Danio rerio: one gene and its partners. The main gene of each other region encodes a partner of the protein of the gene in region 2 in a complex. Links are inferred from orthologs where the notes say so. Each region holds a gene or a part of one and is shown on either strand. Other genes may lie near its edges.

Evidence for each region. Proteins that work in one complex are often made in the same cells at the same time.
Region 1: apba1a (region 2) and lin7c share a complex: the UniProt entries of both Homo sapiens proteins name them as parts of the brain-specific heterotrimeric complex. The link is inferred for Danio rerio from reciprocal best matches to the Homo sapiens genes APBA1 and LIN7C.
Region 3: apba1a (region 2) and lin7b share a complex: the UniProt entries of both Homo sapiens proteins name them as parts of the brain-specific heterotrimeric complex. The link is inferred for Danio rerio from reciprocal best matches to the Homo sapiens genes APBA1 and LIN7B.

Annotation. Positions count from the first base shown.
Region 1 is NC_133182.1:31,966,175-31,970,466, forward strand, and holds the start of lin7c (protein lin-7 homolog C), read right to left. Parts: upstream 2,811-4,292; 5' UTR 2,693-2,810; coding exon 2,656-2,692; intron 1,831-2,655; coding exon 1,712-1,830; intron 1-1,711. UniProt on the Homo sapiens protein: Plays a role in establishing and maintaining the asymmetric distribution of channels and receptors at the plasma membrane of polarized cells.
Region 2 is NC_133180.1:56,742,860-56,747,003, reverse strand, and holds the start of apba1a (amyloid-beta A4 precursor protein-binding family A member 1), read right to left. Parts: upstream 2,807-4,144; 5' UTR 2,719-2,806; intron 1-2,718. UniProt on the Homo sapiens protein: Putative function in synaptic vesicle exocytosis by binding to Munc18-1, an essential component of the synaptic vesicle exocytotic machinery. May modulate processing of the amyloid-beta precursor protein (APP) and hence formation of APP-beta.
Region 3 is NC_133178.1:30,723,296-30,727,564, reverse strand, and holds the start of lin7b (protein lin-7 homolog B), read right to left. Parts: upstream 2,811-4,269; 5' UTR 2,616-2,810; coding exon 2,579-2,615; intron 1,246-2,578; coding exon 1,127-1,245; intron 1-1,126. Other genes in the region: snrnp70 (U1 small nuclear ribonucleoprotein 70 kDa), read right to left, coding at 3,741-4,269. UniProt on the Homo sapiens protein: Plays a role in establishing and maintaining the asymmetric distribution of channels and receptors at the plasma membrane of polarized cells.

The DNA of each region.
Region 1 (4,292 bases), on a different chromosome or scaffold from region 2:
TGAGCTGAGTACTTGGGCAAAAAAAAAGAGAGAGGAGCTTGTGAGGATGAAACAACATCCGCCTGCTCAATTTTTTGTATTATTAACCTGTCAGTCTTTGGCACATTCATCACACCTTACTTTTTTTTCCCCCTCAGCATCACACAGCGGATCTCATTCACCAATAACGCCTTAGCAGAATACAAATAAGAGAAGTTCTTACCAAAACTTTATTTGGGCATCAATTTGTTATCCTTTTTATGATGTTAATGAATTGGTTGTACTTTAAAAACAGCAGCTGCATGCCCAGAGTTAGTCATTTGCATAAAACGCAGACAAATATCCATAGGGCTTTATGCACAACTTTTCTTTTATAAGCATAAGCCACTCTAAGCTAATAGATGGTGCTTTCTAAAGACTCACCTGTAATAACCTATTTAGATGCTATAAATATATTTTATGCTGATGTCTGGTTAGTTACACTGGAATATCAGACCCATTTTCAAATTAAATTCAGGAACGATGTAAAATAGACTGCCGATAACCCTAAATCTAAATTTTAAAACAAAATTTTTTATTACATTATAACATGCTCATTACATAAATAAATATGTAAGAATAGTTAGAGGCATTCATTATAAACATTATTTATAGGGATACTCCGATTGATCAGCCAGAGATCGGTATCGGCCATTAAACGCATTTAATAACTCAATCGGTACTCTCTGATCTGGCCGATCTCATGAACCGATTGCAAGTGTTTGTTGGAGATGTGTAAAAAGATTTGAATGACCTTGCATGCATTTAGGCCTTTTTACAAACAAAAACTAAAAGTTCTGTGTTTTTGACAATATTGAAAGTTCACTAAAACCTGTCTGGAAATATTACATAAATATATATTTTAACATGAATATTTAATAATATAACTTCTTGTAATATACTTACTGCAATAAACAGTAATGTATATGCCTATTTCCTTTTAGTAAAGAAGTAATGGATTTATAGTGGGGATTTTATCTTCTTATGCATCAAATATGCACTTCTAACTTTTTCTTTACTTATACATGTTGAATTCCTACTCCATCATTTGCATACAAATTGCATTGTTTGTCATTTTTCTTACCAATTTGTTTATGTTTTATCAATGATTTTGTATATACTGTATCTGCTTCTGACCATTACATGTTCACACCTATAAGAGGCTATAAGAGACATGTTTAAGGGATTATATGCAGCAGACATAATTTATTCTCTGGGGTAAGGAGAGATCTCTACTTAAGTATCGTACTTAAAAGCGAAAATGTGCTTAATGTAATATGAAGTTTGAAGCATTAGAATCTGTATTCTGTAACAGATTTGTTAAGGTTAATTCGTAGCATTAAAAAGGTAACCAATGCAAAACAATCCCCAGTTTTCAAACCTAGAAATTTTATAGACCATTTCAATGTGGTAATGTCATTGGCCAATGAACATTTTCTGCTTGTTATCAAACTATTTTATACCTGTAACGAGACAATTTATTCATAACTTGATGTTATAACAGCTATCGTAACACTATTTATCAATATGTGGAACATCTTGGACTCTTAGAATCTTTGGAAATTTAAATAAATTTTAATAAATTAAAAAACGGAAATATGTCAGGACCGTTGTTATTGTTTACATCCCTCAAAATTGTAAGAAGACGTTTAAATTTAACTTGAAAGCATGAATGTGATGTTGGAACACTTACCTCCCTTACGGCCTTGCAGAACTCGCTCTGCAAAACCCTCTGAAGGGCTTGCAGCTTCTGGGGTGGCACTTCCCCTGTTCTCTGGAGCTTGTCCAGCAGCTCAATGGCACGAGATATGTCTGTAGAATAACATATGTAAGACCAAGACCATGGATAATCATTTGCATCATGCCATCTGGAGATGTTGTCTGTGGCTAAACAGCTTTCCCTGATAAATAAAACAACAACACGGACCGCAGATAACATTTTAGCAAATCCTTTCTTTATGACAAATATTATTGTTGTTGTTGTTGTTATTAATATTGCGCCATATATTGTATGTAACGTTACTAGTATATAATTTAACGCTACCCAAAAGAAATAATGTTTGTAAATAAAAACTAAATAACTTAAGAATGAAATTATTTACTATTATAATGCTACTTACCGGTTTCTTCTTGATTTATACAGATACATGTAAATATTAAGATAAAAACAGACGGTCATAAATCAGAGTTTTAGCTGATCTACTAGCCTAAGTTAACTCTACTGTGTATTAAAGCTTCAGTTAAACTCAAAATAAGTTGCTGACTATTAGGACGTCACTGAAAGACTTTACTAACCCCTAGAAATACTCAGATGCACTGATCTCTGACCTGAAGTGCCCATGCTAACAGAGCTCACAAAAGATTAACGCTTTTGACAGCTACCCTCGTGTTTTCCTTTCGTTGAACGTAAACTCACCGCTTTAACGACATATAAATGTCCGTATTGCACATTTTATACGTTTTGTGAACGTAGTTTAGTTTATAGAAAAACGTGTATGATCTCGAACGGTGAATTGATGCTAGCTCTCTGTCGAGCACTAATCCATCCTCACGAAGTGACAGCGGGAGAACAAAAAGCGTGATTTACACAACATCCTGCTTCACGTACGGCAGAAAGTGTCTCGGTGCGCGGCTTACCTCTTTCCAGACGTACAGGTTCTCCTAAAGAGGCCATTATAGCCCTGGTTGTTGAGTTTGCGTTTGGTGAAAGCTCCAGAGTTGCGACTCGGCGGCTGTGTTTGTTGCTGTTAGCTTGCTGAGCTTAAGCGTTGTGGCTAATGCACCGAGATTACGGATGAGCGTCAAGAGCGTCATTCCTGCGTTGCTTCCGCGCAGACACTTTGCATACCATAACAAACTGACTTTATTATGATTTTCTCAATGAAATTGGAATATATTATATATAATTTTAACATTAAACAATATATTTAAAGCAAATATGGACTGTTCGACTTGGTATTTTGTTTAGGACATCGAGTTTGACTGCATAAATTATTACAATTCAGATAGTAGACACGTGTAATAGGGCTGTTTTACTGTCAGTAATATGTTACTGGACTAGTTAAGAAAATAATGTTATGGCAGCTATACAGTGATATATGGTCAACAACATAACCCACGCTCAATTGGATAATGTATTAGCCAATCAGAATCCAAGGGCAGAAATATTTCCATACATTTTAAACCATATGAATGAATAGTTTATTCCAGGTAAGGAATGCATTTATATATGATGATTTATTTATTTATTTATTTATTAAATTTTTTTTTTACAATTCAGACTACAACTGTTTATTTTAGAAATCTTTAGGCACACTTTAGGGTATTATTTTTGGGTTATTTTGACATCAGATGATACATTTAAAAAACTTTAACAATGTTATCACATTACTATCAAGAAATATATGACTGTGTTTTCATTGTTGGTTCTGTTATATTAGTTACATGAAATATGTTTACTTATATATTATTTAAATAAAAATTATTTGTTGCTAATGCTAAAAAATGTTAAGATTAATTAATGCTTTAAAAATGTTTATTTTGTTGAAGTAATTAATGATAACAAATTACATATTTTTGTAAAACTATTTTTCTTAGAAAAAACATTTATAGAGGATACAAATACATATATATGACTTTGAAATATTAAATATTGATGACCAAACGGCACGTTTTTTTTTTTTATCAAGCAAAAATAATTGTTGTACTTTTGTATTTTTTTCTTTTTTTTTATATTTCCCAAATTATGTTTAACAGAGCAAAGAAAGTTTTACAGCATGTCTGATAATATATCTTTTTCTGGAGAAAGTCTTATTTGTCTTATTTTGGCTAGAATAAAAGAAACTTTTATTTAAAAAAATAATAAAATTTAAGGTCAAAATTATTAGCCCCTTTAAGCTATATATTTTTTGATATACAGAACAAACCATCATTATACAATAACTTGCCTAATTGCCTAGTTAAATTAACCTTGTTAAGCCTTTAAATATCACTTTAAGCTGTATTGAAGTGTATTGAAAAATATCTAGTAAAATATTATTTACTGTCATCATGGCAAAGATAAAATTAATCAGTTATTAGAAATGAGTTATTAAAACTATTATGTTTAGAAGTGTGTTGAAAAAATCTTCTTTCCATTAAACAAAAAATGGGGAAAGATTTTTATTTTATTTTTATTTATATATATTTTTCAAATTATGTTTAACAGGGAAAGGAAATTTTCACAGCATGTCTGATAATATTTTTTTCTTTTGGAGAAAGTCTTATTTGTTTTA
Region 2 (4,144 bases):
TTATTATTAGAAGTATTATTTATTATATGCATATTTATATTTGTTTTATAAAAACAAGCTTATATTTGGCCATCTGTCAGGTTTTAGACCATATGGGGCATACCATGTGTATTTGGATATACAGTAACTCAGTTTTTTGAGCACACTTCGTTATTATTGGTTATTTATTCATTTGCTGGAAATTAGAAGTGAATTTAGAAATAGTTTTGAAAAAAATATTTGCGCTTAATAAACAAAATTAATTATGTATAGGCTAATGGATATCTGTGCGTACAACACATTTCCTTATCCACAAGAGTGAAAGTAAAGAATGAGGAGGCTCTTTCTTGGCCGTAGATGCTCTGTTTAACTGTTTTCTTTCTAGTGAAGTATTCAGTTTTCCCACTTACAAAGTCCGCCATGTAAATAGCAAATGCACTATGGCGTGACGCAACTGACTCTTGAAGAAAATGGATGATGAGACTGAGTGGTTTATTCTCAAAAAATACCTATAACTCATTAAGAGATTAAGCTTAACCCTGTTAGACCATGCGACATGGCGCAAAGCGGATATTTCTATCTTTAAAATAGGCATGAATGAAATTCCTGAATGAAAGTGCCAAACTTCAGTTAAAGTCCATCATTTAATAATTTGTCAAATAATTTGATTACTGGTGTCCATGTAAGCACAGTCACTATCTTTCTCCCCTGTGTGTGTGTGTGTGTGTTTTGCCTCTCTGAAAATTAGCGTATGCCCAAACCGACACTCCCATTATTATGCAAATTTTTACAGACCTTGCCTCTTTTGCTCGTCCGACACTCCCCCCTAAACAGAGCTGGACACGCCCACTTTCCTGACTTTTCCAAAGTAGAGGTGTGGAAAAAACCCTGCTGAAACAAGGTGGTTTCATGGCCCTTTAAGATTTTAAGTTTCAATCATGTTTTTAAAAGAGCAAAAACAGAATTTGTGCTGTTCAATGCATGCGCTCTAGGGATGTATGTCCCCACCATATCAAGAGCGAATCTACGCCCTTGGAGTGATATGACATGATGATCAATGTGCATTAAGAACTTATTCAACTTTTGCTTGTCATCTAATAACAGACATACACCAAAAACGTAGCAATATACACATTAAACTAATAAAAGATTTAACAGACTTTATGCCACTTATGGGAGGCACTAAATATGTTTTTAATCTGTTTTCACATATTTTGAGTTCTGATGAGCAGTAAACTAAGCTAAAGCAGTATGCTGTTGCATTGACTTACCCAAAGCTAATCCGCTTGTTAAGTGTGACGTCACGCAAAGTGGCTTCCGGGTCCAAGTGCTCTACGATCGCTATATATATGTCCATGCCTAATATCCGATGGCCAGAAAGTTGTTCATTTTTTTATAAATTGTTACCATTTTAGTATTTGTGATGCAGCAAGCCCAGATATTGTTGTGTACACTATGACTTATATAGGAAAAAAAACTCATTATGCTCTCTTGTAAGTCTCTCTAAAATCAATTTTGTGAGGTGCTGTTGTCATAGGAAATATATTCATTCCAAAGTGTTTTCAAGCCTAAATAAGTTAGCATATTCATTTGAACAGCCCTTCAGATTTAGGAGCAATCGGCATCCCCTGGTGTTTTGGCTGTACAGGGAGGATGCTCTTGGATTATGTTTGTTGCAACCCTTCATATAAAGTTTCAAAATACAGAAAAGTACTTTAACAGGAAATCAGCTGCATAAGTTTTCAGATGCAGTCATAGTTTTGCCTTTATAGAACAGTGGAGATTATCTGCAATAGTATCTGACTGTCTCTGACATAATCTCATACACAATGCACTCAATAAAGCTTGTGACGTCCCTATGAGAGGCAGGGTTAAGCATGCAGCTCATCTTGCATCTGCTCCCAGTCTGCAGCCTGACCCTTCTCAATGACTGTTTTCCAGAGCACTTTTAGACAGACACTTTCCTTCCCTTTTTCCCTCGGGGGAATCCCTAACATAATTTTGAAGTGTGTTCCACTTCATCAAGTAATCAAGGAAGCAAGTCTGCTTCATATGTCCACTCCAGCACCTATAAGTGATAGTGACATCACAACAGTGTGATTCCTAAAGCATTCCATTTAAACGCTTCAGATGTTCCACCAATAGGAGACATTTGCATAAACAAAATCATTGACAGACACCCAATAAGATACAGAGGGCAGTTAGCAAGTGAAGGGCGTAAAAAAATTGGACTTGAACGCAGCCAAACTTTTGGTGAATCATAGTTGTCGCCATCTACTGGTGTACAGAAAAAAGTTACACTGAAAAGGCATTTTGGTGAACGTATGGAGTCACCATATTCTAAACTAACAGTCAATCACCATATGATGCTTATTGCTCTAATTACAAATGATGTGGAACAATTATTTAGGATAAAAAAATTTCATTGCATGTACGTACTGACTGAGAACTACTAACTTCACTTCCCATTTATGTATTCATTGCATTTCTTGTTGGTAAACCTAAATGTACTTTCCACGCCATAGAAACATATGGTCCTTCCAGTGTAAACAAACAGCCTGCTATTCTGCCTGTTTTCCGCAGGAAAAGCGACAAACATTACAACAGTCACTTTGAACAAACCTCAATGACTCTCGCTGAGGTACAAAAACATTCAATACCCGGTTCGGTTTAACCTAACATTTTCAGCGACTGAACATAAGGCGTGAAATGAAATCTCGTGCCTCGTCTCTCACTTACGTTTACTGCGGTTTGTTGCGATCTAACGGTCCGCCCGATGTGTGTCTGGATCCACCATCTTCATCGCCTGTCTGCTTTCTGTCAGTTTGTGGGCAAATCCGACTCCTCCCATATCAAACGCTAATCAAACGTCACCGAACGCTGCTTAATTTCTCAATGAACTAGATGAACTCGGCTAAACATCAGAACAAGAAGGGGTGCGAGCACATAGCTGTCATGAAGAAGGGGTGCGAGCACATAGCTGTCATGAAGTGCATAGTTAGAAAGCCCTTTCAGTGGAATGAGATGGGTGCAAATGTCTATCCATGCCAGATTAAAAAGGAAGTAGCAATATTTGAAATTAGTTAAAATTTACACACAATTATAACTTCAGAATAGCTATGGAATTAGTTGTTTTGTGAAATACCCATTTCCAGTCACAATAAATGAAAACACTTGCTATTCTAACTCAGAAAAAGCATTTTTTTAATAGAAATGAATAAGCATTGGAAATGTTCATTACATTAAACTATGTTTATTTATTTATTTCACTCAAACATTTAAGAACTTAAAAGGTTGTAACTTAAGCTGCTTTTCCACTATCGTGCTGAATCGTTTATATGGTGAACCGTTCCAATTCTTTTCCAAACCGGCCCAGATAGCACGGATATGGTTTCATTTTCCACTGTCGTTCTGCAAGCTCTTTGAAACCTTACACAAAACGCTTTTATTTTCTGTGGACATCTAATTATCTTTGGTAAAAGCAAGTTATCTTAAATTATTCTTCATTAAGATAGCTTGAGTGTGTCACGGTGGTGCAGTGAGTAGCGCAATCGCCTCACAGCATGAAGGTTGCTGGTTCGAGCCTCGGCTGAGTCAGTTGGCATTTCTGTGTGGAATTTGCATGTTCTCCCAGTGTTCGCGTGCGTTTCTCCAGGTGCTCCGGTTTCCCCCACAAGTCCCAAGACATGTGCTATAAGTGAATTAAGTAGGCTAAATTGTCCGTTAGTGTGTGTGAATGAATATGTATGGATGGTTCCAAGTGATGGGTTGCGGCTGAAAGGGCATCCGCTGCATAAAACATATGCTGGACAAGTTGGCAGTTCATTCCACTGTGGCGACCCCAGATAAATAAAGAATCTAAGTCAAAAATAAAATAAATGAATATCTTGACTTAAAGCATTTGAACAGTAGGATCCTAAATGGCTTAACTTCCATAATATGAAATGATTTTGGGAAATAAAAAAAGTTATGAATTAAAAATGAACATGAAAGCAAAATATGAGATGGACTGTTTCAAGAGTAGTTTTATTTAATGTGGTAGGCAACTGACAAAACAACTATGGTTGATGCAGCTTTTAATACAAATAAATATAAAATACATAATGAGATGCTTATTAAAAACCTACAGTACCTTATCAGCTTATCAGACATCACATGAAGAAAA
Region 3 (4,269 bases), on a different chromosome or scaffold from region 2:
GAGAGTTACTGCAAAGAGGAATGGGTAAAAGTTCCCAAAGACAGGTGTGCCAAGCTTGTGGCATCATATTCAAAAAGACTTAAAGCTGTAATTGCTGCCAAAGGTGCATCAACAAAATATTGAGCAGAGGCTGTGAATACTGATGTACATGTGATTTTCAGTTTTTTTTTTTCACATTTTCAACAATTAAAAAAAGAAGAAGCTTTTTTCGCATTGCCATTAAAGGGTATTGTGTGTAGAATGTTGAGGAAAAAACAAATTTAATCCATTTTGGAATAAGGCTATAACATAAAAAATGTGGGAAAAGTGAAGCGCTGTGAATACTTTCTAGATGCACAGTTAAATAGATATCAGTTCTGATTGACAGAGACTGAGATGTGCTTAATTTTACAATATGGAAAATAACAAAATCAATTACTAAAGTTCAACAAAAACTGATCATTCAATATAGACTCAAGAGGATTGTAAATATTTCACTGACAATTTCTTTTTAGCTGATCTGATATCAATTTCAATATACTCTCCACAAGGATCTCAGTTCATTTAACTTCTGTGATTAAAACAGATAATATTGGTCATGTTTTAAAATGTTATCATTACTTTTCCCATGCAGACGCCAACACGCCAATAATGTCAGCCACGTGGAGAGAAGGACACCTGATGGATATGTGAAAACTGATTTAGTGTGACAAGACTACGTAATTGTAAAAGAATGTGTTTGACTCTTGTGAATGAGAAGTGAACAGACTGGGCTCTTGCTACTGGAACCCATTATCACAAGTCAAGGAGTGAGACAATAAAGCTGAAGTGAGATGCCATCTCAAAGAGGCAGGAAAGTGAGTCATTCAGGAGGAGGAACAGTGGAATGCAGTTCTGCCTGAGAGAAGAAATAAATACTCATGTGGAGGAGGAAAAGGACAGTGCAGTCTTATGTGATACGCATTTCAAACCTCAACTGTATACCTAGTTACATATATCCAATTAGTGTTCTGTGAAATCAATACAAGAAAAAGGAAGGAATTATTACATTTTTCACAATTGAGCGACGCTCTAATTAGAAGCACAAGGATGAGTTATTACTAGAGTCAAGCATCCTTACGTTTGAAGGACAGAAGAAAGATTTTACCTCTCTGATGGCAGCACAGAATTTGCTCTGAAGGACTCTCTGGAGAGCCTGGAGTTTGGGAGGAGGAAGCTGACCGCTTCTTTGCAGTCTGTCCAACAATTCAATCACTCTGCAGACATCTGCAGGAGAAGTCAATATTATAGAAATATATAGATCAAAGACATGTTTGTGTCTGCAGCAAACGAAACAAATAAAAGTATATTATACACATAGAAAGCTTATCCAACTTTAATTTTCCAAATAATGTGAAAAAAATAAATGGTTACTTTCATTCCCAATAAAATAAATAACTGTAAATTAAACCATTATTTTTGCACAAACAGAAAGGAAGATATTATTCTAGATTTGTTTAAATTATTATAAAGTTCGGGGACACACAGTGAGTAGCTCTGTCACCTCACAGCAAGAAGGTCGCTGGTTAAAGCCTATGCTTGGTCAGTTGGCTTTTCTCTGTGGAGTTTGCATGTTTTCCCTGTGATGGCGTGGGTGTTCTCCGGGTGCTGTGGCTTCCCAGACAGACCAAAGACATGCGCTATAGGTGAATTGGGTAAGCTGACTTGACTAGTCTGTGTGTGAATGGGTGTATGGGTGTTTCGCAGTGATGGGTTGCAGCTGAAAGGGCATCTGCTGCGTAGAACATATGCTGTATAAGTTGGCAGTTTATACTAATGTGGCGACTCCTGATTAATACCAGTCTTATAGGGATAGTTCACCCAAAGTCAAATGTTATGCGTTTCCAACATTCCTCAAAATACTACCTTTGGGTTCAACAAAAGTCAAAGAAACTCATAAAAGTTTAACCACTTGAGGGTTATGGAGTAAAAAATTTTTTCAAATTATTGTAAAGTTCAGTGTGCATTTTCTGTACATCATTGTACAAAATACAAACGGTTTCCCGAAAAAAAAACAAAAAAAAACATTTGGATTTCTTTATATTTAAGCAAAATATTTATAACACAATCTCGACAGTTAAAATGTTTTGATAGAACAAATTTTCTGTCCAATACTGTCAAATATTTTAAGTTTATCAGGAATGCAAAGCCAACTATCAGTGTTTTACAAGTGCCTTAAAAAATCAGAAACACCCAATAACCTGCTGTATCTATTAAGCTTTCAGTCCAAATCATCCACCAGTGATACAAAATAAGCCCGTGTATATAAAAATAGCATTCTGTCTTAAACACCCACATAGCCTTGTTTTGTTTGTCTTTTTATTATTATTCAATGAATTCTAAGCCTTACACAAACACTAGCACACCCTACTGTGGGGTGAGGGGGGCAAACATCCATTCATTCAGATTATGGAGACTGTGCGCCTCTCAGTGGTCACTGCTGCTGCTTGTTTAACAAACACAAGAACCAGCGAGTGCGTTAGCAACGCTATCAGCTTTAATATTTGCACAACGCCACTCTCCGTGGCTTGCACACAACAATGAGAACGGAGTAAATTACCTCTTTCCAAGCACAGCGGTTCTGTCATCGCCGCCATGTCCACCTCTTTCCCCGTATGATAATACGATGACATCATGAAGACTGCTGCAGTGGAGGACTGAACCGCTTTCAGCGACGTTATACCAAATTAATATTTCAAAACAAAATTTGAGATGAGCTTTAAGTATGTAAAAACAATATTGAAGGCGCAGACGATCCAGCTCTGATGGCGAGATGCGCGGGTCTGAGCGCTCGTACAGAGCGGCAGCTTACTGGATGACGCAAGACCACACGTCACAGGCGCGAGTTCAAGTCGTTTTGCAACCCACAAGCTCGTTTAACACCGTAAGATTTAAATAAATAACCAAAACACTACTTCGGCAATAAAAAAGTATTTATTCAAGAATTTAAAGCAGAACAAATACGACCAGATACAAACTGAAAAAACCTATACATAAAATTAAGAGCAATTTCTGTGAGACCATGGCAGACATTCCCATTTAAAAGCAGGTGTCATATTTTCTGCCTTTGTTCCTGCTGTAAAATAAGGGGCAACTGTACGATTTGTAAACGATCCATGTACAGGACCAAATATGAAACAAAATGTACATGATGAAAATAAAGTAGCAGAGAAATTAAAGGGAAGACCAATACAAAAAGAATGTTACAGATAAATGTACTAACCCATGAAACGTTACTATTGTACTCCGCAAACATCTATGAAAATGGACATAACAGTACTAAAACAACCCCAATAACTCCAACAAACAAATACTTATCTTTGACTGAAACTACACTGTATTATAATACAGTGCTTCAGTCAAGAAATCCCCTCCCAGTTATGGTCATTTGATATCAAAATAATGTTAGACAGGGAATTCAAATGCATCATTAAGCTAATTATTTACTGTAGTCCAAGCCCCAGAAATAGGTTTACCAGAGCTAAAAACATAAAAAAGCTCACAGTTTAGCTACATAATGTTTATTTTAACAATAGGACGCTTCTTACCAGGGAGACACTAAGCTCTCTCAGTGACAGCTGTTATTAGTACAGTATAATACTCACACGCTGTGGACAGTGCAAGCAAAGGGTGGAGGCATTAAATAATGGTTGAAGATATTTGTGGATCAAATCAACATTACATCTAGATAACCTACAATCATTCACACAACGATGGCACTTTTAGTACTCATCACCCTGGGCCTCCATCCTGTACCCATTTTCATTGGAGGCATAGCCCTCTCCCGACTGCATGGAATCCTGATCCATCATCATCATCCTCATCCCATCCTGTGAACCTTCTTCTGATTGCGGTGGCACTGGCTCTTCACCTTCTTCACCTCCATTACCCAAACCCTCATGATCTCCGGAGGAGGTAATGTGTCGATCTTCCCTTCGCTCCCCACGGTCCCGATCTCCACGGTCTCGCTTATGGTCACGATCTCTATCCCTGTCCCGCCTTCTGTCCCGATCCCTTTCTCTATCTTTATCTCGATGGCTGCGCTTCCTATCACGATCTCTTTCCCTGTCTTTGTCTCGATCCCTCCCCCTTTCCTCTCCTTCAGGTCCTCCCTCCTCACCTCGCCCTGGTTCACCACCCAAGGGGTCCTCTATGCCCCTATCTCCCCCTTCAGGCATCATGCCATCAACTAGCCCGCCCATGCCTTCCTCCCCTCCTTCTGCACCTTTTCCTCTTTCCCTGTCTCTCTTC